7 linked regions of the Coturnix japonica genome follow. The protein of the gene in region 1 interacts with the protein of each later gene in a biochemical or structural test. Links are inferred from orthologs where the notes say so. Each region holds a gene or a part of one and is shown in the gene's direction. Other genes may lie near its edges. The genes, in order: TJP1, claudin-8-like, CLDN1, JAM2, JAM3, CGN and claudin-4-like.

Region 1 (3,500 bases):
GGAGTATCAGAGGCACCACAGGAGCTGGCATTTCATTTCTTTACTCTTGCCCCAAAGTTTCACAGGAACCTGTGGATATCTTTACAACACTGAGCTTCAAGATTTCCACTGATTATACTGATTTGATTTTTCTTTAGTTGGTTAAATATTTATTTACTTGTAAAAGCACACAAGTAAATAATGTTATTTAAGAAAAACCGTGTCTTTGAATCGTGATATTCCTTCCCACTAAATTATTCTTTGAAAGTTAAGTGTGAATTTTAAAGCAGGATTTGGAACTGGGAAATGATCACTGTCAGTTGTTCTCCATCAGAATGGAATGATGGGTGGATTCCAGGGGCAGCAAGCTCTGCTCCTCTCTTCTGTTTTTTTTTTCTTTTTCCCAAGCACCTTAGAAGAATGGATCTGACAAGTGGGAAAGACTTCAAAATGCATCACTAGTTTTACTTCTTCAAAAGCTGTGTGACTTTGATTAGTCTGTTATTTTTATAGGCTTTCTTTCACTTTATTTTATTACATATATTTTAAGGCTTCTTAGTATGAGAAAACATTAAAAGACTTTGAATTTAAATAACTATACATCTAAAGGCCCCGGACTAAGTGGTTTGAAATAGAAAGGAAAATTCAGAAAAGCCTGGTGCAGCTTACAGTTGTTCAAAAATATTTCTGTTAAATGTGAGGAAGAAAATATTATGAAGTTATTAAGCATTTAATTGGCTGGAGGTAAACATGAGGACTTAATGACCCAGGTGACAATTATTGAAATAGGCAACCCTCATAGATTTTCTGGGGTGAGAATAAATCCAGACTTACCTGTGGTGAAAGCAGTGGATCTCCTTGTGGGCTCCATGGTCAGTGTGTGGTTGCATTAAATACTTTTGGATTCACTTTATCAGAAGTGTTTGCAGAGTCCTGTAACGTGTCCATAAGACATTCATACAAGGAAGATGTATGATCAGCGTAAATGTCACTTTTTGTCTGTGAACAGGCATTGTGACAGAGCAGCTGTCTTTCCTTGGGACTTTGTTTTGCTGATTCTTTAAGACATTTCAGCAGGAAATCTGTGGTGTTGATTTGGTTTCTGTGTGCAATTCCATTACAGTAGCAGCGCAGCATCTTTCTCTGAGCTTACCCCATAAATAACTTCACCAAAAAAATCTGGTGTTGTCTAAGCTGGAAGTTTATGCGTTTCTGAATATTAGTTATGTAACAATTCTGAATGTTTTCTTTTCTTGCAGTTGAAAGTTCAGGGGTAAATTAATCCAAGGGGGAAAATATTAATTTGGAAATCACAGCAATTCAACAAAAAATGAAGGTCTTTGTAAATTGAATGAGAAATTTTAGAATCTCTCTCTCTCTCTTTTTTTTTTTTTTTTTTTAATTTACAAATTTTATTGCTGTGACTTTTGTTTCTCCAGCCTCTTACAAATGTGCATGGGGACATTTTATTCCTGCCGTTAAACAGTGTAGATCCCAGGGTTCCCCTACCTACACAAGTATATTCAGCCTGGATATTTTGTACTTGAAATTTTGTGTGTCGATCATTAGCATGGCTCACTCTATGCAGTGTCTCTTTGTGATGGCGTGTACCTGTAAAGGCACACACCTTTCCTCTTTATTTGTCAAAGCACTTATGTACGTACTGAAGCCATTAATTCCAAGTTTAAAAAAAGAAACCCTAAGATATATAGGAATCTTAACGGTTACAGAGAAAATCACTGAACTGTTGTTGTCCACAGCCTTGGGCAATGCAAAAAAGATGTGTATGGATAGATGTGTGCACACATGTTTTGGTGGCCTCTTACGCCTGCAGTTGCGAAAAAGAAGAAATGTAAATCTGCTAAATAAGACTTCGTTTTTTGGATGCTCGTATTTGCTGGAGCACAGTACTCGCTTTCCTAATGCGGTGTCACACTGACTAGAGACTATTTTGCATTTAAAATATTGACCTTTCGAAACTTATTATATTTAGTTAATTGTTAACCCCATTTACATTTACTCATTAACAACTTTCAACAATCTATTTGGCATCTGGGGAGCTTACTCAAAATACTTCAATTGCAAGCTCCTCTTAGAACTATATTTAGATGACCAATGTGATGAAAACCTTAAAAACTATAGTTTTAATTACCTCTACAGCTGTAAAAGGTCCTTTTCATTTAGTTATTGCTCATCATTATTCTTCGCTAAAACATCTGAAGTGCCGTTAGTGCTTAAACTGGAAAAGGTCAAAAGCCAAATTCTGCCAGGGTCCCTTTGATTTAACCAACAGACAACAACGTGTATCACAGAACACAATTTTTAAATTGAATTAGTAGTGAAAAATATCCCTTCTAGTTTTTCAAAAGTAAAATATGTTTCTCTGTACTTTTTTGATGCTTCTTACATCAGTGCAGAAAATGTACAGATGACTCAATCTGCAAGCAGTGGTGGATTTCGTGGGAGCTGTGTTTCCTCACCTTTTGTTGTCTTATTTTGATGCTGCCTGTTTGAAAACTAAAGGTTGGATTGAGACTCCTGTCATATCACCCTTGCACATTTTTTGCTTGTATATTAGAAATGTGATATATATAAAGCGATATATTCTTTGTCTGATATGGATCTCTTTTTTATTTGACAGGGTAACTCCATCTTCCGAAAATCCCAATGGTGCTACCTGTAGTGTAAGTCAGGGAAAGCCTTCTTTAAGAAGAATAAAAGGGAGAATACACAGAAGCAAGAGCCTTGATAGCATTGATTTCTGTGAATTCACTGTAAGTACTTTGTCTTTTACATTTATTCTATCTGAAGTTACAAGAATTTTGCTGATAAAGGCGTCATTCCTCTTGCATTTGGTTTATGTCATTGTTAGAATTGAAAAAGGAGTTGTATTTAATGTTAAGAGTTAGGGTTCCGTGTTGGCAAATGTAATGAAAATGATATTGCTTATGTAATTACTGATACATACTCTCATTTTTGTTCTTGAGTAGACATTAGTCTTGTATCTTGATTTCAGGTTTTGATATTGCCTCATGCATAACAAGATGCAGGAATGAACTGGAAGTTGAGTAAATGTGAAAAATAAATTGTGTTTTCAAAATCTATTTTCATATTTACAATGTGGAAGTTGTATCCACATTAAAAAATATATATATTTAGCCAATTTTCAAAAGCTTTTTTACTATATGCAGCTGTAGTAGGGTACCAGAGAAAAATAAATGCATACAAATTGTGTGTGTTCTCAGACTACTTAACATCCTTGTTTGCATCTCTTTGGTTACACTTACATACGTTTTTTCTTTGGTTTAAGAAAATTTATAGTGATCATGGTTTTGTGAAACTTGTATAGCTTGTCCTTTAGAGATTTAATAGAACTTAGAGAAAAAATTTGCAATAGAGACATGTACAACTTTTAATTACAGAAGTATTTACGTTCAAATAACAAAAGAGAGAAAATGTGAATGAGTGTGGATTGATTAGGTGGGGATAGATTTCCCACCATTTATACTGGTCAGAAAAGA
Region 2 (3,946 bases), on another chromosome or scaffold:
AATCCACTGTTGTGTCTGATTATTTTCTAGATTTTTGTTTGCAGTTTTAATAGTTTTGACTTTCACGATGTCCTTCACCTGAACTTCCCAGTATTGTCCATAGGTCACTGAAGATATCTTCGATGTACAGCTCACCTGCTATCCATAATTATACTTAATTTACACTATTATTTTAATGATGTCTTTCTAATGTGTTTGTTTGCATGCTGGTACCTCTGATGACTTTTTATCTGGAGAGCCAATAATTTTCAATGCACTGAACTGCATCGTGGGATAATTCAGTCTGGATATGAGGAAGAGTTTCTTCTCAGCAAGAGCAGTGCTGCAGTGGCACAGGCTGCCCAGGGAGATGGTGCAGTCACCGTCCCTGCGAGTGTCCAAGAGCCGTGTGGATGTGGCACTGAGGGACATGGGCAGTGGGCATGGTGGGGGTGGGCTGATGGTTGGACTGGGTGATCTTAGAGGTCTTTTCCAGCCTTAATGATACTATGGTGCTATGATAAATGCTGGGGTCACCTTTACACTGGAAAACGCTGTATTGTATAAATCACAACTCCGTGCAATGATTGAAGCACGTGGACATCTCCAGAAATTTGCCTATCCCCACATACTCTGTAGAGTATAAGTATAAAGCTATATGTGTATACAGGTATTAGCAGGTCTGAGGACTCTTATTGTTCCTTTCTAACTCTTCAGTGGTGTTTTGAAGCTCTGACTATCCTCTGAGGAGATATCCATTTCAATCTCAGAGTCCCTTTGTCCCTTTGATTTCCTTTGTTCCCTGGTGCTCTTGCTGCAGTGCTCTCCAGGCTTCTGAACAAGAGCGCTTTGCAGGCAGGGGCCCAGTGGTGGGGCAGGCAACTCTGCTTTCTTCCTGGCCCACTGCCACTGCTGCTGTGGGAACCTGAGCTGAGCTGGGGTCAGAAGCAAAGTACTGTACATTCAAGGCAACAGCTTCATTGAGTGCACCAGCATACACAGCCTCTGCCTGCAGAGTCTATTTCCTTGGCTCTGACAAATTTATAGACAAAACCTAGGGTTAAGGGTAGGGCTTTTTTTTTTTTTTTTTTTTTTTTAAACTTACAAATAATCAACTTCAATGCAAATGTACCTATCCCAGAAGGTGCATTTATACTAAGTGGCTCCTGCCGGTTTACACACACCCCGTCTCGTCTTGACTCTTGCTTTGGAAAGCTGTTCCACTTGATTGCTCGGTTTGCCTCTTTGAGTCAGTGGTGGCCTGGGAATTATAAAGATGACAAAGGCTCAGCCAAGTCCCTGGTAGCGCGTGCCAGATTCGAGCTGATTTAAGGCTGCGCAGCCTGACTCTGGAACTTTCTTCACACAAACGAAAGCTACTTTTGGACAGTTTCTTTCTTTCTTTTTTTTCTTTCTTTTTTTTTGCCATCTCGTGGAACCTGCCGAGCGGTGCACACCTTGCAGAGGCAACATGATCAATGGTGCATTGCAGATTGCCGGGCTGCTCCTCGGTGGCCTCGGCATGATTGGGACATTTGCAGTCACGGGCATGCCTCAGTGGAGGGTGTCTGCCTTCATCGAGAACAACATCATTGTGTTTGAGACCATTTGGGAAGGCCTGTGGATGCACTGCATCAGGCAAGCCAACATCAGGATGCAGTGCAAGGTCTACGACTCCGTGCTGGCCCTCTCTCCAGACCTGCAGGCATCCAGGGGATTGATGTGTGCTGGGTCGGTGCTCTCCTTCCTGGCTTTCCTAGTTGCCACTGTTGGAATGAAGTGCACGCGGTGCCGGCAGAGCGGTTGGCCGACCAAGGGCTATATCCTCTTGGCAGCTGGGCTCCTCTTCATCCTCTCAGGTACCACTGCACTCGTTCCAATCTGCTGGGTTGCCAACACCATCATCAAGGACTTCTACAACCCTGTGGTCAATGTGGCACAGAAAAGGGAGCTTGGTGAGGCCCTCTATCTGGGCTGGGTGGCTGCTTTCTGCCTTATGGCTGCTGGAGCCATATTCTGCTGCTTTTGCCGCTGTTGTGAGAAAACCAGGAGCTACAACTACTCTGTGCCTCCTCACCAGCTGCCACTCAACCAACACTTGCACGGGACCACCGAAAGTGCCTACTCCAAGAGTCAGTACGTCTAGATGCCTCCAGCCTTTTCCTCATTCTTATCTTTTCTTTAGGCATTTTTTAAAACTGTTCAATCTGTCTGGATGGATTTGAATGAAAGTTGCCTTTCCTCCTGTTCTAACTGCTGCTGTGGTCACTGCATACAACCCTCAGTGGGCTCTTCTGGAGTAACGCTGCAGCATGGACAGTTGTACCAAATGGGAAGATGAATGTTTAATGCTATCTTATAGCAACTTGGAATAGCTTTGGGGTTGCGTGGATCTGCTTTGGGTTGCATTTTATGTGTAAAATAGAAATGAAGGGCTTAAAGTTCCATGGCGATATGAAATACAGGCCTACTGCAAAGAAAAGGGGTGCTGAGCTTATAATTCCTTTTTTTTTTTTTTTCTTTCCTGGGAAAGAGGGATAACAGTGAATAAGGACAAGATAACAATGGTTTAAAAGAAAAGCGTTCACTAATGGATTGATTTACTGTGGGTTTGCTGGAGAGTTTTGTGAGGAATTTATTCATCAAAGGAAGGTAAGCTGAAATACATGAAAAATACCCCTTATTTCAGAGAACAAATACAGCTCTATATTCATCCTAAATACCATCATTTTGGTGAAAGTTACTATTTCTTTTGTAATCCATAAAGGTCGAACTCATTCACATCCTTCTTTTTAGAAGTGGCAGTTTTCCCAACTCCTTGTAACTCAGAACATTTTGTAGTATTGCATAGGTTGGACTGTGTTGGCTAGCTGCCACAGGATGCTATGAAATATATGCCTGTGAAAAATGATCTTTTGATCAGTCAGGCCCATATTTTTGCTGAGATCCACTCATACCAGCATGGTTTATAGGCAAAAGAGCATAAACAATGATAATATTTTCTAACAGCTAACACCAAAACAAGCTCAACAATATTTTTAATAACAAGATCATGTACCCATAATAAAGAACAATGTAATGAAACTAAGTCTACAGAAAAATAAATGTAGCTCCATAAAAATTAATGTAAGAAAAGACCAAAATTAATCAATAGTGATAATATTTTTAATAGAATTTTGTAACCTCGGGCCTGTGGAAACTAATGGCATTTTGCCTTTGACTTAACTGATGACACAATTCAATTTGTGGTGTTTAATGGAGAACAACATTTTTGCTCTCAAGTGTGATTGACTGTTTTAAATATTTTGTAGAAAGTTTATGATGTGATCTGTAATTCTGTGGCAAATTCCTTAGACTATTACTACTTGAAAAATCAGAATCAAATTCTTCATAACATGCAACTCTGAGCAAGCTAGAAAAAATAATCTTCACACTACTCTAAAACTGTCTCTTTGTAGTGTTTATAAGATCAATATTAAGATATTCAGGGAAAGTTCAAGTTGGATATTAGGAAGCATTTCTTCTCAGCAAGAGCAGTGAGGCAGTGGCACGGGCTGTCCAGGGAGGTGTGGATGTGGCACTGAGGGACGTGGGCAGTGGGCATGGTGGGGGTGGGCTGATGGTTGGACTGGGAGACTTAGAGATCTTTTTCTGCCTTAATGAGCCTGTCTACTTGTGTATGTAACTTTATTTTTTTCTCCTTATTTTTAAGCAAATTATTTCTAAATGTGTATATGTGTAATGATCATGAACTTTTTGTAATATAGCAGTATGTGCTTATTTTTCCTTCATATTCCTTCACTAATATTTATACTCACATCCAATCTCTTTCTGGGGGGAAAAGAAATTGGAGGATCCTACATGAACTTGTAGCTAGAACACCAGGATTTATAACAGTGTCTGCAATAAAGTACTTGTTGAGTTCAACCCTCTAAAAAGTGGGTGCAAGATCTCACTTAGAAAACCA
Region 3 (4,272 bases), on another chromosome or scaffold:
TGTGGGATGGTCAGGAAAGGGTGAGTCGGTTCAGTGCTCTGAAGCACCCAGGAACTCTGTGCACTCCATTGCAGGTGGACATTATCAGACTGATAGCACTACCCAGACATCAATGTCTAGACACTCCTAGCCCTGCTCTCCCCGGGTGAGTGTGGGTTTCTGCTGTGTCTCTTCATCAGGGACTGCTTCTCCCAGGGATCAGCTGAAGGGCAGCACCACCCTGTTCTCTCTGCTCCCTCTAAGAGAACCTTTGATGAACGCGCAGTGTGATGAATCTACTTTATTATCTCTGCATTGCCAAAGAAAACTTTTCTGCCTTCCTCTTCTTCCCTCCCAAACCTATAAAACTGGACTCCACGAAGACCCAGAAAAACACCATTCCTTCAGCTGCAGATTCACAGCTACCTAATTGCTTTCCCAGCTTAAAACGCCACGACTGGATAGGTTTGCTGCCGAGTGAGGATAGATTTCATCACACCGGTGAGCTGGGCAGCTGCGAGAGCTCGGAGCGAGGCAGCACAGCTTTATCCCTGCCCTCTGTGGTCGGGTTGCAGTTGCTTTTCTCCCCTTTGCCCCCCCTTCCCTTCCCCCCTCTCCCGGCGTTGCGCAGTACCGGTCAGGTAATCACGAGCTTGCTTGTTTGTCTGTGTGCAACCTCAGGAAGCAGCTCCAGCAAAATCCCCTCAGTCATCAGAACGCACTAAAACCACTGTGTCAAAACAATACAGCTCCATCCCCACCTCCAGCAAAGCCTTTATCGGTAGTTACCACCTATTTATCCCAGAGCTGGAATTACGGCAGGCCCAAGCCGACCGTCGGGCAGCACCACCCAGCCCCACCATGCTTCCCCCCCCTCCCCTCCCGGCCCTGGGAGGGACACAGTGTTCCCTCATTGAGACCGGAACCGTCAATACCCAAACGTTCATGCAGGAGAAAGGGAAACTATAGTCAATAGACAAATACACGCTTGAGAAAGAAGGCACTCCTTCCTGGTCTGTAATCCACTTGCTCAATAAACCTTTTAAAATCACTGCGCTCACTGAAGCGTTCAGAAAGGTACATTTCTCATTTAACAAAGAGGTACAGCGCTCGGTCCTTCTTGAAACGGTGGAATCGAAACTTTGGTTGAGCGTCCCGGCAGCATTTGAAAGCTCTTTAAAATCAGAAAGAAAATAATAGTTTCTATTGCTTCTCTACTGTTTTTTTTCCCACAGCTGTGTGCCCGGTGGGAGATGCCCTGTGCCCTCGCCCCGCAGCGGTGGTGCTGGGGGAGCTTGGGGAAGATGTTTCACATGAGTGCAAGCATTGAAACCCCCCACAAATCCCACCCGATGGGCACAGGCGGAGCACCCCCAGAGGTGCGAAGTATCACCCACCGGGTGGGAGCAGCGCAGAAACCCCCGCTGGGCGGGGCGGTGGGGGGGGGGGTGCGGCCGCTAGGAGGCGCACTTTGAGCGGCTTTAAAAGTTACGCGCAGCGCTGCGCAGGTGCCAGTGCGCTGTACGGTGCTGGTTGTATTTGCGCGTTTTTCATCGTAGCCGACCTCCGCAGGTGCGGAGCAGCCCCGCGCAGCCATGGCCAGCGGTGGCTTGCAGCTCCTGGGTTTCGTACTGGCCTTCCTTGGCTGGATGGGCATCATCATCAGCACCGCTATGCCCCAGTGGAAGATGGCATCGTACGCGGGGGACAACATCGTGACGGCCCAGGCACTCTACGAGGGGCTGTGGATGTCGTGCGCCATGCAGAGCACGGGGCAGATCCAGTGCAAGGTGTACGACTCGCTGCTCAAGCTGGAGAGTAAGTCGGGGTGGTTCTGGGGGGCGGCGGGGGGGGGAGCATATGGGAGCTGAGGGTGCCTGTCCCATCGAGTCTTTCCCACTTTATGCTGGTCGGTTTTGTTGGAGCTCAGGCTGAAGGGCTGGGAGCGGGTGTGCCACTGTCGTCGGGTGCTCTCTGCATCGCTGATGAGGTGCCGACGATGTAATGAGTTGGGGCTGCTGCCCTTTGGATTGTTAGGATTTAATCTTGCTGAAGTTTTCCGCCTTACTACTGGTCCCTTACGAGGTTACGGTGTAGGGCTCAGGGTGACCCGTCCTGCTGGGTCCCCTTTGCTTCGTTGTTCGTCCCGTCGGGGCTTAGGTGCGTGTCCTCAGCGCGGCAGGATCCGGCAGGGGGTAGGGACCCGCAGCCCTTTGCCTGTCCCTATAGCAGCACTCGGGGACGGAATATCGGGTCCCTCTCGTGCGTCCGGAGACGCGCCACGACTGCGAGAGAACTTGAAGTGGTTGGAATGGGCAGGGACTGTTTTTGTTGGGCTATGCCTCAGCGGCAAAGTTGTGGAAAACACTGCAGAATTTGGCTTTGCAGGCACTGATACTTTTGTGTTTGACTGTTCTGTTCTTCTTGTTGCACTTCGACGGGATAACTTTGTTCTCTGGGAAATGTTACCTAGGAAAATCACCGCTCCTCCTGCGGGGGTTTTAGGCAGAGAGCTGGCAGGTGAGCTGGCTCCCAGCCCAGGCAGCGCTACTTGAGGCTTCTAGGCAAAGTAGTCCGTTCAGGTAACGCCAGATCCTTTGTCCCATCCTGAGCTGGCTGCGCAGGAACACAGCGCACCCCTTTCGATGGTGGTTGTTACGTTGAGCTGTCCCTGTCTCGGCTGTTTCTGGAGGACTGAGTATTGAGGCAGTTGGTTGGACCTGACTTTACGCTAACATCTAAGGGGGCTTTAAAAAATATTCCTTTCCTTCTAACTCTTCCCCCCACCCCATAGCAGGGACCAGTGAGATCGATTTGTCCTTGGAACATCTTCATCCTTCTCCCTCCCTAATGAATAAAACACTTAACTACCACCTTGGTCGCCTTCTCTTTCCCAAAGAAACAAACACGTCGTTTCATGTAACATCACAGTGAGCCCATTAGGAGTGCCCCTAAGTTCCCGTACTGCCTCCCCCATGCCATGCTGTAGTGCTGCCCACCCCGGGCCCCACCTTCGCTGCTACCAAACACCAACAGTTCCCTCGGCTCTGTGGGCCCCACAGGTGCAAATTACGCCCTTCGGGAACGCGGTGGATCTATTCAGCCCCATTGAGGTGCAGGTTAATCAGGGCTGGGTGGGCTAAGCAGGCGATGCAGACTGGGTGCAGTGATAACTCAGATGTAAGTTCAGCTTGAAGCCTTTTATCTCGCTTCTCGGGGCGGGGGGGCGGAGATGCCGGTGGGGCTGAACAGTCTCCGGCTGCCCCTTGAATCGGTTGCGAAAGGTAAAACTTGCCTGGGGGGCTTTGGCTGCAGCCCATTTTGCTGTAAATGAGGCTGCCTGCAGAATCAGCCCCGAGCCCTGCCTGCCTCCTCCAAACCTGCCCTGTTCAGCGCTGAGCGCTCAATAGCGGCTGCTCCCTTCACCTTTGTTCTGCGGACAATAGAGGCTCTTCCGAGGCTTCGGGGGAGAGTGAGGTGCCAGAGGCTGAGCCTGAGTCGTTAACAGTCCTTTATCCCCTTACTGAGCTCCTGGCTCTACAGGGGCCTGAAGATTCCCAGAAGGATAAGAAATATGGGAATACCGGGGCACGCTCTCTTGCTTGGGGAAGTCAACAGGCTTTAAATGTCCTTTGCTTTTGGCACCCCAGCTTTCTCAGGTTGTGCCCCTCTCACTTGAAAGGACATTGTGCCTTTTTCTGCTTTCCTGTCTGTTCTCCCCTCGAGGTCTTTGGGCAGTGATCTGTTATGTTGTTTTGGCTGGAGATGTGATTGCCAGCTCTTACCCGATTTGGCAGCCTCACCCTGGGACAGGTGCAGCTGTGCAGCAGGGCTCTTTTCCCGTGTTCATTTATGTGGTGATACAGCAATGTGGGCTGCAGAATTTATCCTGGCTCTTGTTTTCCTGCCAGGGCATCGTGCATGTGCCCTGAACCAGGTGTCTCAGCCTCGTGCGCTGATGGGAGAGGCTCTGATCCTGCAATTACTTTGCCCACATAGAAAGGATTGACTCTCATCACCTGCCGTAATTCATTCTTGTGGGAGTGGTGAGAAGTTTTGCTAGCAAGTTTGTGGCTACTTGGGAGCTCTTCCCATTTCTCTACGTATACCTATGGTTGCTGGGGTTGGCAGAACCTTGCCAGGTTCTGTTAGCCGACTGAGGGGCCTTCAGCTTCCCATGTGGTTATGCTGCTGAAGTGCACCATGCTGGCACTCCTCCCACACTGCATTCAGCTGAGGGCTTATGTCAGGCTGGGACATGCTCCCATTCAGGCAATAGAGAAAGGCTGTGTT
Region 4 (4,117 bases), on another chromosome or scaffold:
TCCACAAGTAGGCTTGAGGCATGTCAGGCTTATGCCTGAATGGGATGCAGCTGGGAAGCGTGGCTTTAAACTTCTTTTCATTTTTTGATGGCAGTGAGAAGATGACTATTCATTAGCTCTTCCATTCATGTCTTCTAGTTTGGTATTTGTAAACTGTGATATATGAGTGATTACAAAGGAATTAAATCTTCCACTTTTAACCATTAACCAGACAGCCAGTTCTCATGGAGCGGTACTTTTCCCCCTGCATTACATGCTTGTAAGTGGAATCATAGGCATCTTCCTCTCTTACCTATCACTGACATGATTATTTGCATTGATTATTGCATATGTACGTGTGTGTATGTATATACATATATACATACATAAATGTGGTGTTGTTTTTTGTTTTTTTGGGTTTTTTTAGCAGAAATATTGCTTGTATTCTACATACATTTTTGCACTTGATTGATAGACTCAGATTTTGATGTGAAGAGTTTCATCCTAATCCTCTGGTTGCTACTAAAAGAGCTGCCGGATACTTCATTTATAAATAATCTTTCCCCATTTTGCTACAGTCTAAAAATGCAGCCAGTGTTGCTGCACTGATCATCAGAAATACTTGTAAAACTTTTCCTGTTACAGAACCATATCACATCACTAGTGTATTTTAAGATGTCATTAGAAACGACTCGGATGCAGAATTGGTTGTGATGAGTTGTTTTCCCCGATTCCTAAATTTAAAAGGCCACTGCACCTCCTGCATATTTAATGAACAACTTTACAAGCCAAGTATAAAGAGCCAAGACAGGAGGCTGCAGAGGTGACCGTGCTGCCCTGCTGTGCTGGCGTACACACGCACACAGCATCCTGCCCTGCACGGGTGTGATGGATGGCTGTGACTGAGCTTTGTGTCTGAAGGTGCTCCCTGCTGTCACCTTGCTCCCTTTTTGCCCAGAGCATCCACCTGCACTTCTATTTCACCATTCACACTGTGACACCCGTTTTCATCCCGCTCCTCTCCATCCTGGATGGGTGTGAGAGCAGAAGCGAACACAAGCAGTGACGGTGAGCTTCTCGAGGGAGAAGTTTAAGCTTTTTGTAATCGAAGCCAAAGTTTATTCTGCCGCTGCCAACGCCCGTGAACTCACACGTAAACACGAACATACGGTCACGGAGAGCTGACAAGTGGGCACGGCTACGAGCCCTGAAGGACGACTCGGGGCCCGGGGTCGCCCCGTACAGCCCGGGGACGCGAAGGACCTGACAGCCGCAAACTTCGGCGCCCACCGCCCGCTCCCCACCTGCTGCCCCGGCGCCGCCTGGATCTGCCCTATCGGCCGGCACCGCCCCTTCGGGTCCCGCTCCGCAGGGGAGCTCCGGGGCGAGCGCAGAGCCCCGCAGCCCTGCGGGGGCCGCCTGAGGCGAGGCCGGGCCGGGCCGCCCCCTCTCTCCCCTACGCTCCGTTCCGTTCCATTCCGCGCCGGCCGGGCCGCGCCCCACGCCCCGCCGCAGCCGGCGTCGCCCCGCGGTGATTATCCGCTGCCGCCCGCGGGAAGCGGCCGCTGCCGGGAAGATGGCGAGCCGCCGCCTCCGCCTGCTGCTCCTCGGGTACTTGGGGGTCCTCTACTGTAAGTTGCCGCGCCTCTTCCCTGGGAGCACGTTCGGTGCCGCGTCTGTCTGTGTGCACGTGTGGGTGTGCGTATACAGTTGTCCCTGCCTCAGGGAGCGCTCCCGCAGCCCCCGGGCCGCCTGCTGTGTTCGGGCTACGCGGGGCGCGGAGGCGGGTGGCGGCCAGGAGCTGCCCCGCGGGCAGTAGAGGGCGCCGCGGGGGGAGCCCGGCTGGGGCGCGGGTCCCTGCATCGCCCTGGGGGGCAGCGACCGCGGGGCTGGCGCGGATGTTGAGTCGCTCCAGCCTTAAGGCGAGCTGACCGCTCTGTGCGGCGCTGCGAGTGTTAGGATGCGGGCTGCGCCGCGTGCCCTACGGGGAAGGGATCCTAAGAGATGAACGGGCAAGTGGCAGAAACGTGCTTTCTGCGGGTAGCGCTGCTTTGGAGCAGACTGATGTTACCAGAGCGTTTACGGTCCCGTTTAACTCGTTGAAAAACCAGGCGGAGAGATGTGAAGTTGGCAAAAGCTGACCCACCCAGAAAGCACATGGAAATAAGTGAAAACAGAGCACGGGGCCGAGTAGCTGCAGAGAAGCAGTGAATGAATATGTGGTGTTCATAGTGCCAGTCATCTGAAGAGGCTGGTGCTTTTGGATCACATCTGACTTTGCTCTTGTGTGCTCTGTGTCTCATTGCTGCCTTTGGGAAAGAGACAATATGTGGAAAGGATGCCCTGGAAAAAGAATTGTATAGGTCATGTTATCTTGCTAACAAAGTGAGAACCTGAGACCTGCCTGTTCCAGCTGCTCAGTAGGGCACTCTTGCATTTAACTTTAATTCCTGCTCATCTAACATAAATTTGTGTGTGGAAGACCTTTTTTAGAGGAGGGCAGACTCAAAGTGACTCTGCTAGTTCTTTGGCTTGGTGGTTGGTTTTCTTTTCCTCTGTCTTCACCAAACTGTTTTCAGTTTTGCCCCCTCCTCCCCAAGAAGGCCCTGGAGTGTGTACAGGGCAATAGAGCTGTGAGGGGTCTGGAGCACAAGTCTGATGGGAAGCAGCTGAGGGAGGGTGGGTTTGTTCAATCTAGAGAAGAGGAGGCTCAGAGGAGAGCTCATCGCTCTCTACAACCACCTGAAAGGATGTTGTGGTGAGGTGGGAGTTGGCCTCTTTTCCCAGATAACAGTGATAGGATGGGAGGGAATGGCCTCAAGTTGTACCTTGAGAGGTTCAGGTTGGAATATTAGGAAAAGATTGTTCTCAGAAGGAGTGGTGAGGTGCAGGCACTGTCTGTGGAGATGTTTAAGAGCTGTGTGGATGTGGCACTGAGGGATGTGGGCGTGGTGACAGTTGGACTTAATGATCTTTTCCATACGTTAATGATTGTTAATGTTCTGAGAGGACAGACCTTCAAGTGATGTACACTATGCTTGTTCTCTGGTTTGGTAGCAGTTTTCCTTTGTTTTTACCTGTACAAGACCTTATGAAGAACCTGGGTTGTTAGGTGGGTGGCTTCCTCTATCACACAGTGAATTTAAGACAAAAAAGGGTTCTTTGATCTTTTTTCTTTATTTGTTGTTAGTTTCGTGGGCATATCTAATTAAATAAGGCTACTGTGTTTTATTTATTTAGTGAGTAAGTGAGTGGGTTTAGCATTTTCAGGCTGCTCATTGTTGGGTTTTGTGTGTTGATACTGCTGGCTGTGGTCAGCATGGAAATGCCACAGGGTGGGTTGAAGGCAGTTCATTAGGTCTGCTGACTGAATTGTTGGCATACACTTATTTTTCTCTCTTCCTGTCACTGTTCCCAAAAAAAAAAATGCCAGGTGGAGAGAACTCAGTTTACCAGCAGTGTGCTAAGATGGAGTTTTTTTGCATGAAGAAAGTGGCTGCAGGTGGGTGTGCAAATGCTGATTGTTTCTGTGAGCTGGAGGAAATCCAGACAGAGAAAGCTGTCGGGAGTCTGCTGCTGTTCCTGGAGCTCCAGTGTGCTCATGCTGACAATAAGTCTGAGTAATGCTGGCTTTCGTGTCAGATGTATGTGTTGAGTTGTTTCTAGTGTGGGTCCGGATCCCAACATGCTGCAGAGTTAGCGGGGAATGGGCAAAAGCTAATGAGGAAAAGAAAGAATTAGATTAATGCTAGAAGAGCATGAGGGTTATGCTGTAGTGCAACTGTACAGAACTTGCTTGGTAATTCAGCTGCATGAGTTAAGAGCTGGATAATCTGGCCATAGGAAGTCAGCATAGCCAAGAACAGTGCTGAGGTCTTTTCAGTGAGAGCCTAGTAAGAAATGCTAATGTTCCAAAGAAGGAGTGGTTTCTCCGAGTTAAAGCCTCTCTCATCTTTAATTTAGGAGAAAGTAAGGGGAGTTAGAGACCGTCAGTCATACAGTCTCAATCTGTGTGAGCTCCATAAAATGATGCTGCCTGTGAATGTTTTCAGAGGTGAGCAGGCTAAGATTTGTGAGCTCTGTTGGTGTGAGTTAGGAAACGTACAGAAGTTGTTGCTATTAATAGTCATGGCAGCAG
Region 5 (3,995 bases), on another chromosome or scaffold:
GTTGTACACTGCAGCACTTTGCCATCCTGGCTTGATGGGCACAGTATATCGTATAATATTGATCGTGACTCCTTTTCACATCTCCAATGGCTCTGCTGTGCCCTGACACAGCCGTGGGGCAGCACACAGGGGTGGGCATAGAAGTGAGGTGATATTCCAGATCTCATCCCCCACTCTTGTCCTCTGAGTTCACATCCATTTTGCTGCTTTCCCTGCCCAGGTGGTTGCTTGGTGTCGGGAAGGAACTTGGTGGCTCAGTGATGTTTAATTGCTGTTGGATTTTATCTCTCTATCCCTTCAGTCCAAAGGAAACAGGTTAAAATGACTCTTTGCTAATGGGGACACGGCCCAAATATTGGTGCTGTTGGGCTGTAAGCCATCAAGTCTTATTGAGCGAGTCCATCCCCCGCATCATCACTGAAGTGTCCCATCTGGCCATTAGGACTGAGTGCCTTCATATTAATTTCACCAGGCTCAGATCAGCCCTTTAAGTCTCCTCATTAGCACTGAGAGTTAGATCCACCACGTTATCAAGTTAAATACGTTTTTACATCCCTTAATTTCAACCCGCTCTGCCGAGCTCGTGGTACAGAGAAGAGCTTGGCTTTCATTCCAGCTGCTTGATTTTCAACAGCATCTTAATTACATCCCCATCACAGCGCACTGACGCACGAGCCGGCACCCATCCAACCTGACTTCAAATCACAGAAGGATCTGGGGTGGAAGAGACCTTAAAGTCCATCTGGTTCTGCTCCATGCAATGGGACACCCATCAGGCTCAGAGCCACATCCCCTTATCCTTGGTCTTGCAGGGGATCAAATGGAGCAGGGACTTGCTTCTCGTTAACTAATGGAAAAGGCTCTGAGATGCTTTTGGGGACTGTACAGAGACTCGGGGTGCTCTCACTCTGCACAGCACGAGATGCAGCTCTGTCTGTTTGCGTTTCTCCCTCGCTTTAACTCGTCCAAAAGTTCGCACCGCCGCTCATTGCACATCACGAGTCAGCTTTAGCAGGGCACACCCCCCCCCAACAGCCCTCCACGCACTCAAACCTCCCCCCACCGCCCAGCACTGCCCATAACCGAACCCATCCCCACCCCGGGGGCCGCCCCATCCGCAGCCCCTCCGTGCCAGGCTCCATCCTCGCAGCTCCCCGCCCGGTTACCGCAGCAACATCAGCGGCACCCCCGCCCCCGGGCCGCCCCCCTTCATCATCCTCCCCCCGTCGGGGCAGTGCGCAGGCTCAGCGCAGGGCTCAGCTCCGCACACCCCATCATGGCGCTGCGGCGGCCGGCGCTTCTCTTGCTGCTGCCCCTGTTCGGTGAGTGCCGGGCAATGGAGATCGGCCCGGAGATGCCCGATGGGTCCTTGGGGTCTGGGGGGGATGCGCAGAGGGGGGGTTAAAGGGATGCGGTGCCGCGGAGATGGGTCGGGAACGGGGATGCGCCGCTCCGAGCTCGGGGAAAGAAGGGATGCGCTGCTCTGATCGCCATCCCGAGCAGAGACGGCCCTGATCGCCGTCCCGGCTGGGAACGCGGTGCGCTGGTGCCGGGGACAGAGGGGGATACGCTGCCCATAACCCGGAGAGGAAAGGGGATGTGCTGCTCTGATCGTGGGGAACAGGAGGGATGTGTTACTTTCATCGGGGTCCCGGCGAAGTGAGGATGCTCTGCCGCCGTCCCATCCCGGGGTGAGCGGTGATGGGAAGGATGCGCTGCCTCTACCCCAAACAGGACCCCAAAGGGCGCTGAGCTGTGGGATGGGATGAGATGGGGGGGGAAGCAGCTCAGCGAGGTGCGGGTCCAGGGCTGAGGGTGCCAGGAATGTGCAGCCTCGGCAGGCAGGCAGGGCGGACACTGGTCCCTATTCAAGCCGAGGCACAGGCTCCTATTGTTCCGGGGGCCCGCATGAATGTTTGCAGTTTTTAATTGCAAAAACATTTGCTAATTCCGCTCAGGAATGAATTCGGGCTCATTTGTTGTCTGGCTATTAATAGCGGGGGGATGAAGAGGGGGGGACAGCAGCCGGTGGGCTCCCATTGCCCCCCACCCCCCACTCCCCCCTTCCAGGCAGGCGACAGAAGGAGAAGGGATGGAGGGAGGTCAGAGTGCCAATCAGCAACTGACTTGGAAAGTTCAGCCACTGAGATCCACGGGGCTGTGCACACAAATAACTGCGTTGGGTCAGCTCGAGACTGGAGTGCATTGAAATATTTCAGCCAGTTTATCTAAGGACAAAGGAATTCTTCAGTCCCTAATGGTTTTCAGACGTTGGGGCTTTGAATTAAGTTAAGATTTGGGCTCTGTTCCCTCCAAAATTAAGGGGTGAGAAGATACAGCCGTTCCACTGCAGCACCCATTGGGATGAGGAGTGCAACTGGGGGGCTCTGTTTGCTTTGCTGTGGTTTGAGGCTGAACTGTGAGTACCCGGAGCATCACAGTCATCCAGGTCCCAACTTTGGATCTGGGTGTTCCATTTGAGTGAGGAAAAACAGCAGATTTCACTCAGCTTCTCCTGCAGTTGGGCTCAAGGGGCATTTCCTCTCCTCCCTCTGTGCTGGAGCAGTGCTTGAGCATCCTGTTGAATGCGGCCTAAAAGACAGCAGCCTGGAAATGAGCTGCAGCTACTTGGGTGCTTCTTTGGACAGGCAGGAGTTGCTGAATGCAGGCAGACCCCGCTGCTTTCACACCTGGTTGCACTATAGTCATATTAGTGAACCGGGAGGAATCCTACATTAAAGGTGCACTGGGTTGCTGCTGTGTGGTCCCATAGGGTTGTGTTTGATGCCAGCCCACTGGTTGGCAGAGAAGGAAGGCAACAAGGCCAGTGAGATGCTGCAAAACTGCTTTAGGAGCTCAATGTGCTTCTTAGACTATAGAGCAGGGATGGCCTCTGTGCTTCTCTATCCAGAATGGACCCAACTCTTGGTCATGGCCTCAAAACATTGCCACAGCACAGAAGGCAGTGAAGCATGGAGAGTGCAGTGTGTACCCCGCTCCAGGCACTAAAAGCATCTAAAGATTCTGCATATGAGGGAAATGCCATGGCCGTAATTATGCTAGCGGAAATTATCAGCATCAGTGGTGGAAAGCAGAGCTTGTAAGCAACATCTATGGTGCGTCCTGCCTCGATGCCTCTGCTGCAACCTTCCAGCATTTGGATTTGGAAGCTTTCACGTGTCAGACTGAGGGCAGAGCTGTGCAGCCCTTCCCAAAATTCACAAGTATTTCCTGATGAAAATAAAAGCACGTCCTCAATGGGGAGGCAGGTCCTTGGCACGTTGCGGTGCCAAACTCAGCGTGCTCCAATCTCCCTTTGATTTATCTCTGAGGTTTGAATTGTGCAAAGGCCATTTCTCAACCTAGCAAACAGAAGTCCTTACTTCCCTTTGTGTAAGCTATGAAGTCCATCTGTCCCAGCCACCAACAACTGTTCCCACTCAGCTGTCAGCACCAGGAATTGCTTGGTGCAAACGCTGCTGGCCCTGCTGCAGCACCGATGTTGTTCCTTGCTGATAGGAGCTATTTGCAGCCATGCTTTCCTTTCAGCAGGCAGTGAGAAAGCAGGACCATCAGCTCCGAGAGCAGTGCCAAAATCAGATGCTTAATAATGTCTTCCAAAGAATTCCTGGGGAGGGCTTGGTGTTCCTATTCAGGCACCACCACCGCAGAGCTGTTGGATCCCATCAGCTTTACAGCTGTTGACAAAGAACGTGACACCAGCGCATTCCTTTTTGCTTGGAATGCTGTCAGGAATTAGTTGGTTATTGAGGCACAAGTAGATCCAGAGAGTAAAATGTGGGGTTTTTGTAGGGAGAAGGAGCAGAGGATGGAGATGCTGCCCTGGTAGTGAACTCTGCTTCCTCACTGATGTGTTTATTTTCCTTTAAGAGTTGAATTCCGGGTCTCCCCGCCTGCTGGGTTGTTTTTCACTCATCCATCCCCACACTGAGGGTTTGCACCAGGAACACAGGTTGTGCTGCCAGACCTCACCT
Region 6 (3,500 bases), on another chromosome or scaffold:
TGTGCTGTGGGATCTCAGGGCTCTGCTGTGTGCTATGGAATCTCAGGGCTCTGCTGTGTGCTATGGAATCTCAGGGCTCTGCTGTGTGCTGTGGAGTCTCAGGGCTCTGCTGTGTGCTGTGGGGTCTCAGGGCTGCTGTCCCTGCAGGCTCGAGGAGGCGAAGGCGGCACAGATGAGGGCAGAGGAGCAGCTGAAAGCGATGCGCACAGAGATGGGGACAGCCATGGACACCAGCGCTTTGTGCAAGGTATGTCCACATGCACTGCTCCACAACCATCCTTCACTGTGCCACCAACCACAGCCACCTCCGTGTCCCAGGAGCTGGAGGAGGCCCAGGAGGAGCTGGAGGAGGCCCTGAGCTCCCGGCAGCGATTGGAGGAGCATCTGAGGCTGCGGGAACGGGAGCTGACAGCGCTGAAAGGGGCTCTGAAGGAGGAGGTGGCCAACCACGACCGTGAGCTGGAGCGTGTGCGGCTGCAGTGCCACAGTGACATGGAGCAGCTCCGGCGCAGCGTGGAGGACATCTCGCAGGTGAGGGCTTTGTGTTTGGGACCTGTGTCCTCACATCCTCCATCTGCACACCATGACGAGGTTCTGTGTCCTGCCCCCACCCCTCTGTGCTCCATCCCTGGGGAAGCCTGGAGCTTATCAGTGCTGCCTGGTGCTGTGGGGCCCACTGCATCCTTGGGTCGCTTCCTGGGGAGCTGCTCTATGTGGTGTTAAATGGGGCAGATCCTCAGCATGCTCAGAGCATTCCTGGGCACAATCTGAGCATCCCCAGGGCAGAGAATCCCTGGGCAGAGCCTGAGCATCCTTGAGAGTATCCCTGGAGATCCCCTGGTGGAACATCCCTGGGCAGGGTCTGAGCATCCCCAGAGAACCCTTGGAGCATCCCTGGGCAGTGCACCCCTGGGCAGGGTCTCAGCATCCCCCATTGATGCCCACTTGGAGCCATCCACCTTTTGTTCCCCAGAACCGGGCTGACCTGGAGTCAGAGAAGCAGAAAATCGGTGCGGTGGTGCGGAACCTTCAGCGTGAACTGGAGGAGAGCGCCGAGGAGACGGGGCATTGGAGGGAGATGTTCCAGCGGAACAAGGACGAGCTGCGCGCTGCCAAGCAGGAGTGAGTCCCGGCAAATCGGGGTGTGCTCAGGGCTGTGGGGGGTTACTGACCCCCTCCATCTCATACTCCCATTCTCAGACTGCTGCAGGTGAAGATGGAACGGGAGGAGTTTGAGGAGGAGCTGCGGGAGCTGCGGGAGCGCTTTGCGGCCGCACGGGAGGAGGTGGAGAGGGCACGGAGCAGCGCAGCTGACCCCGAAGAGATGGAAGCACTGCGCATGGTGCGTAGCAAAGGGGGGATCTGGGTACTGTGTGTGCCCTGTCAGGGTCCCTGAGCCCATCCCGTCCCCAGGAGCTGCGCCGGGCACAGAAAGCACAGCAGGAGCTGATGGAGGAGAAGGAGCAGCGGGAGGAGGTGGTGCGGAAGCGGGAAGAGGAGCTGCAGGTGCTGCGCAGCGCTGTGCAGGATGAGGCCCAGAGCCACAGCGGAGCCATGGAGCAGTGCCTCCGTGACATGGAGCGGCTGCGGGAGGAGAGGGATGAGGCTGTCAGGGTGAGAGATGGGATGGGGATGGTGTATGGATGGGGATGGCGATGGCGTTGGAGTGAAGAGGATGGGGACTGAATGAGATTGAAATGGGAAGGGGAGGGAAGGGCTCAGTGCTGCCCAGCCACAAGCCAAGGGGCAATCTCACCACACCGCTGCAATGGGATCCCAATTTCACACCACATTTCCTGGGCTGGGCTGGTGGCCATGAGGCCCTTCCTGTTGCATGGCTGCATTGCAGGCAAAGGTTTCCCTGGAGGGTGAGAAGAAGACAGCGGAGGCAGCACTGCAGAAGCTGCAGGAGCAGCACGAGGAGCTGCAGAGGAAGGTGCAGGGCATGGAGGTGCAGTTGAAGGATTACGAGCGCATGGGGGAAAACTGGGAGGGCTCCCAGGCACGGCTCCGTGAGAAGGTCACCAAATTGGAGGTAATTGCGGCTGTGGGTCCAGGCTGAAGGACACGGGGTGAGATGAGGTCCTATTGGAAACGTGGGGACTTGGGAGAATGGAGGTGGCACCAGAGGGACACTGGGAGATGCTGGGGGGCTTCAGGATATCTGGGGATGTTTGGGGACATGAAGCAATGCAGGTGACACTAGTAGGACACTGGGGACATGGGGACATGTGGGGAATACTGGGGATCTTAGGGACACAGGGAGACACCTAGAGGCATGATAGGCCATAGGGGGATGCAGGTGGTGCCAGGGGGGCATTTGTACATACTGGGGGACATGGAGACAGTGGGGGGTGTAGAGGCACTGAGGGTTATTTTGACAGTGCTGTGGGACATTTGGGGACATGAGGTCACAGGGGAAGCACATGGCACTGGGGGGACACTGGGGACAGTGGGAATCGTAGAGGAGAGCGCCGTCCCCTGGAGCCATTCTCCCTCCCTCCCAGGCAGAGCGCAGACTCGCAGAGGAGTCATTGGGTGAAGCCACGGACCGTGAGCAGGAGCTGCTGCGGGCGCAGAGGTTCCTGGAGACGCGTCTGGATGAGGCACAGCGGGGAATGGCGCGGCTGACACAGGAGCAGCGGGAGCTGAGCGCATCCCTCCAGGACGAGCAGAGGCAGAAGGAGCAGCTGAAGCGCGCCAAGAGCGAGCTGGAGGAGCAGAAGCGGCTGCTGGACCGCAGCACTGAGAAACTGAACAGAGAGGTGGGGAGCGCCTGCACCCCACTGCCCCATCGCCCCTCTGTGGGGTGTGGGTGGAGGGCTGTGGTCCTCACAGATCTCGTCCTTCTCATAACCCACAGCTCCATCCCATGGGGAGGGCTTAGAGGGCGGTGGTCCTTATGGATCCCCTCCAGGTGGGGTATCCCATGTCTCGCTGGTCTCTGAGGTGCTTTGGCCCTGGTAGGGCAGGGGTGCAGGACTGCAGGGCTCTGCCCCACTCTTTGGATGTGCTTATCTCATTGTACAGATCCTTCCCTGTTACGTCGGGATGTCCCTGTTTGTGCTCACACTCCCTAAATCCATGCTGTCCTCATGGATCTGCATCAGGGGTCACATTGTCCTTTGCTCTGGGGCACCTACAGCGTCCCAGTGCCTTCCAGCTCCCATGTCACGGGCTTCTGCCAGTGCCACGGACAAGCAATGTCTTCCAAACCCCTCGCACCCCTTCCCAGCTCTGATCCCAGTGCTCTCCCACAGCTTGAGCAAATGACGGAGGAGTCCAACCGTTCACTGGCTGCTCTCAAGGCTCAGCTGGAGGAATGCAAGGAGAAATCCCGCAAGGAGATCACTGATTCCCAAAAACAAGCCAAGGACCGCAGTGCCGAGGTGGAGAAGATGCAGTTCAGCCTGGGACGGCTGCAGGATGAGGTATGGCAGGGACTGCTGGCCACAGGTGGCCCAGGTGACCCTGAGGCTGCTGTCCCCACACTGTGTCTC
Region 7 (3,017 bases), on another chromosome or scaffold:
ACTGTGATAAGGGCCTTGGGGTGGGGTGAGCCCCCCGTTTTGGTGTGGAGGGGCTCCTGCTGTGCACAGCTGGGTGGAATCCTTCAGCTCCGTGCGATGCTGCTGTCACTGCACTGCTGCCTGCCGAGCCCTGTGTCTGTGGCAGTGCTGGGACACGGGCTGCCTGGGGGTCATGGGAAGGGCACGACGGCTGCTTCTCCATGTCAGGCACCGCTTGGAGGATGTGTCACATTTTGGCTTTAGTTATGGTCACTGGCTGTCAAACAGCCATGCTGGCACCTGCTGTGGCTCTGACATTGCTGCACAGTGCATGGCCGTGCCTTGCTCCCACCTTGCTGTTTGTCCCCAGACCCAGGCACGGCCCCGAGCCCTGCAGGGATGCGGCCTACACAGGGCTGGGCTTTTCCTATGGAGCTGTACACACGTGTGCACACGCCCGCTGCAACCCCAAATGACAGTGTGGTTGGCGCAGCCGGCTGTGAGCCCAAACCACATCCAGCCTGGGGCAGGGTCAGCCCTGGTGCTGCCTCCCCATGGGGCTGCCCCAGGCAGGGGATGCTGTGGGGCAAATAGGTCCCAGCCACCACCCCTCTGATTACAGGGAGCCCTGAATGCACTTTGGCTCCATGGTGGGCACGCTGGTATGCCAGCAATGTGGGTGCTCCACGGGTGTGGATGAATGGATTGAGGGAGCACCTTGGCAGATGGTGTCTGCCCCAGACAGGCAGCAGGGAGGGCTGCAGCAAGACCTGAGTGTCCCCATTGTCTGGCCTGGCTGGACACTGGTGTCATCCTTGTAGCATGGACCATGCATGGATCGTGGAGCTGCAGCCACCCCAGGCCCATGGGCTGTGTTGGAGCAGGAGCCTCCTCTGTGCCCAGAGACACTTGGTGTGCTCAGAGGCAGCTCCAGAGCCCATCACAATGAACAATTAGCAATTAATTAGCAATTAATCATATCAGCAAGGTGCTGTCATGTTTTACCAGCAGGTGTGAGGATGCAGTGCCTGGTGGGGGCTGGCCCTTCTGACCCCACAGGGTTTCCCTGATACCTTATCCACCCGCGTCTGCGTGCTTGGGAAACCGAGATAACCCCGGGCCCTGCTATCATTCCCAGAGATTAAGCTGGGGGGGAAGTGGTGCAGTGTCTGCCCTTTTGCTCCGTCTGGCTCTGTGCTGCTCTATGTGCATCCTGGGGGGTTTACTGAGGGAGGCGTGAATGTGTGAGGGGCTGCTGGGCTGGGGGCTCCCCCTGCCCACTCTGAGCAGTGCTGTCTCTGTTCCATGGCAGCTCCAACCAGTTTGTGAGGCTCAGTGGGGAGGTGCCTCCTGCCCGAGGCCGAATGGAGGGATGGGAAGCACTCGTACCGTGCCAGGGAACAAACAAGAGGTGCTTGTGCCCTGCCGGCATGGAGCCCAGCACGGGGCTGGCATGGGCCCATGGAGGCAAGGGCAGGAGCTATGGGGAGGAAACAGGTAGAGAAGCACGGAGGCATCCATGCAGGTCATGGAGGAGGTGCTGGGAGCGATGCTGGAGCAATTCCCATCCCGGATGGCACCGCTGTCCCCCAGCACCCTGAGCTGGGCTCAATCCAGGCGTCTCGTGCCTGCGGGCAGCGTGTGGCCGCGATGCTGCTCCTGGGTGGCCTCATCCCATCCCTGCACGGCCCGTGGGAGCAGCGATGGGCTGCCATGGCCCCATGGCCGTGGGGAGAAACGCCAGCGGAGGAATCCTGGGAAACTGGTTCTTCCCCTCCGTCCGGTGCCGGGACGGCGGAGCTCCTCCCTCAGCGAGGGCATATAACGCCCGGCATGGTCCCGGCGGGCGGCACTGCGTGGAGGGAGCGATGGCCTCCATGGGGCTGCAGGTGCTGGGCATCGCCCTGTCCGTCATCGGCTGGCTGGCGTCCATCCTGTGCTGCGCGCTGCCCATGTGGCGTGAGACGGCCTTCGTGGGCAACAACATTGTGGTGGCTCAGATCATCTGGGAAGGGCTGTGGATGAACTGCGTGGTGCAGAGCACGGGGCAGATGCAGTGCCGGGTGTACGACTCCATGCTGGCCCTGCCGCAGGACCTGCAGGCCGCCCGCGCGCTGCTGGTGGTGGCCATCGTGCTGGCCGTGCTGGGCACGCTGCTCGCCATCGCCGGCGGCAAATGCACCACCTGCGTGGAGGACGAGACGGCCAAAGCCAAGGTGATGATCCTCTCCGGCATCACCTTCATCGTCGCCGGCGTCCTCATCCTCATCCCCATCTGCTGGTCGGCCAACGCCATCATTCGGGACTTCTACGACCCGCTGGTGGCCGACTCCCAGAAGAGGGAGCTGGGCTCGTCGCTGTACGTGGGCTGGGCGGCCTCGGCGCTGCTGCTGCTGGGGGGGGCCATGCTGTGCTGCTCCTGCCCGCCGCGCGGAGACAAGCCCTACTCCGCCAAGTACAGCGCGGCGCGCTCGCTGCCGGCCAGTAACTACGTGTAGGGCCGGGGATGCCCCGCGGGGAGCGGGTCTGGGGCCGGGGAGCTGCGGAGGGGATGGAGCGAGGGGGGGGGTGCGGACAGAGCCGCCTTTGTTCACAGGGATTGGAGCTGGTTCTTTAATCCTGCTGGGATGGGAACAGCGCGCTGCCGTCCTGGCTGCCCGCCCGACAGCTCGGGGCACTCGCGGCGTGTCCTCGTTGGGGCCGGGGGGTTCTGGGCCGGGACTCTGGATGCGCCGGGCGTTGTCCCACCGGTGACACGCGGCTCCGTGCGGCTCCGACTCCACCAAACGCCGCCGCGGAGGATGGGGGGAGTCCCCGGGAGATGCCCCTCGAGTCTGTCCCAGGGGACGCCGTGTCTCCGTGGCACGCAGTGCGATCTCGAGGGACGTTTGATGCTCTCCCCCCTCCGTGCCCCCAGTTCTTCCTCTGACCTACTTTCGGCGATCTCGCCTGGCTGTACGCATTTAGGATTTCTCTCGGCAGCTCGCCGGGGCGCGGGTATCATTATCCTGGGAGTGGGAAGGCAGCGGCTGGGCTGG

Evidence for each region.
Region 2: the proteins of TJP1 (region 1) and claudin-8-like form a complex in vitro, tested with the Homo sapiens proteins (2 studies listed by BioGRID and IntAct, with this or other methods). The link is inferred for Coturnix japonica from reciprocal best matches to the Homo sapiens genes TJP1 and CLDN8.
Region 3: the proteins of TJP1 (region 1) and CLDN1 form a complex in vitro, tested with the Homo sapiens proteins (2 studies listed by BioGRID and IntAct, with this or other methods). The link is inferred for Coturnix japonica from reciprocal best matches to the Homo sapiens genes TJP1 and CLDN1.
Region 4: the proteins of TJP1 (region 1) and JAM2 form a complex in vitro, tested with the Homo sapiens proteins (2 studies listed by BioGRID and IntAct, with this or other methods). The link is inferred for Coturnix japonica from reciprocal best matches to the Homo sapiens genes TJP1 and JAM2.
Region 5: the proteins of TJP1 (region 1) and JAM3 form a complex in vitro, tested with the Homo sapiens proteins (2 studies listed by BioGRID and IntAct, with this or other methods). The link is inferred for Coturnix japonica from reciprocal best matches to the Homo sapiens genes TJP1 and JAM3.
Region 6: the proteins of TJP1 (region 1) and CGN form a complex in vitro, tested with the Homo sapiens proteins (2 studies listed by BioGRID and IntAct, with this or other methods). The link is inferred for Coturnix japonica from reciprocal best matches to the Homo sapiens genes TJP1 and CGN.
Region 7: the proteins of TJP1 (region 1) and claudin-4-like form a complex in vitro, tested with the Homo sapiens proteins (2 studies listed by BioGRID and IntAct, with this or other methods). The link is inferred for Coturnix japonica from reciprocal best matches to the Homo sapiens genes TJP1 and CLDN4.

Annotation. Positions count from the first base shown.
Region 1 is NC_029525.1:5,208,226-5,211,725, reverse strand, and holds part of TJP1 (tight junction protein ZO-1), read left to right. Parts: intron 1-2,620; coding exon 2,621-2,753; intron 2,754-3,500. UniProt on the Homo sapiens protein: TJP1, TJP2, and TJP3 are closely related scaffolding proteins that link tight junction (TJ) transmembrane proteins such as claudins, junctional adhesion molecules, and occludin to the actin cytoskeleton.
Region 2 is NC_029516.1:93,921,434-93,925,379, reverse strand, and holds claudin-8-like, read left to right. Parts: upstream 1-1,146; 5' UTR 1,147-1,450; coding exon 1,451-2,125; 3' UTR 2,126-3,550; downstream 3,551-3,946.
Region 3 is NC_029524.1:12,063,472-12,067,743, forward strand, and holds the start of CLDN1 (claudin-1), read left to right. Parts: upstream 1-1,472; 5' UTR 1,473-1,574; coding exon 1,575-1,797; intron 1,798-4,272.
Region 4 is NC_029516.1:92,152,554-92,156,670, forward strand, and holds the start of JAM2 (junctional adhesion molecule B), read left to right. Parts: upstream 1-1,317; 5' UTR 1,318-1,555; coding exon 1,556-1,610; intron 1,611-4,117. UniProt on the Homo sapiens protein: Junctional adhesion protein that mediates heterotypic cell-cell interactions with its cognate receptor JAM3 to regulate different cellular processes. Plays a role in homing and mobilization of hematopoietic stem and progenitor cells within the bone marrow.
Region 5 is NC_029539.1:2,091,540-2,095,534, forward strand, and holds the start of JAM3 (junctional adhesion molecule C), read left to right. Parts: upstream 1-1,195; 5' UTR 1,196-1,276; coding exon 1,277-1,322; intron 1,323-3,995. UniProt on the Homo sapiens protein: Junctional adhesion protein that mediates heterotypic cell-cell interactions with its cognate receptor JAM2 to regulate different cellular processes. Plays a role in homing and mobilization of hematopoietic stem and progenitor cells within the bone marrow.
Region 6 is NC_029540.1:2,386,686-2,390,185, forward strand, and holds part of CGN (cingulin), read left to right. Parts: intron 1-147; coding exon 148-247; intron 248-318; coding exon 319-531; intron 532-973; coding exon 974-1,122; intron 1,123-1,200; coding exon 1,201-1,342; intron 1,343-1,413; coding exon 1,414-1,614; intron 1,615-1,849; coding exon 1,850-2,035; intron 2,036-2,507; coding exon 2,508-2,765; intron 2,766-3,260; coding exon 3,261-3,431; intron 3,432-3,500. UniProt on the Homo sapiens protein: Probably plays a role in the formation and regulation of the tight junction (TJ) paracellular permeability barrier.
Region 7 is NC_029534.1:441,889-444,905, forward strand, and holds claudin-4-like, read left to right. Parts: upstream 1-1,337; 5' UTR 1,338-1,682; coding exon 1,683-2,477; 3' UTR 2,478-2,517; downstream 2,518-3,017. UniProt on the Homo sapiens protein: Can associate with other claudins to regulate tight junction structural and functional strand dynamics.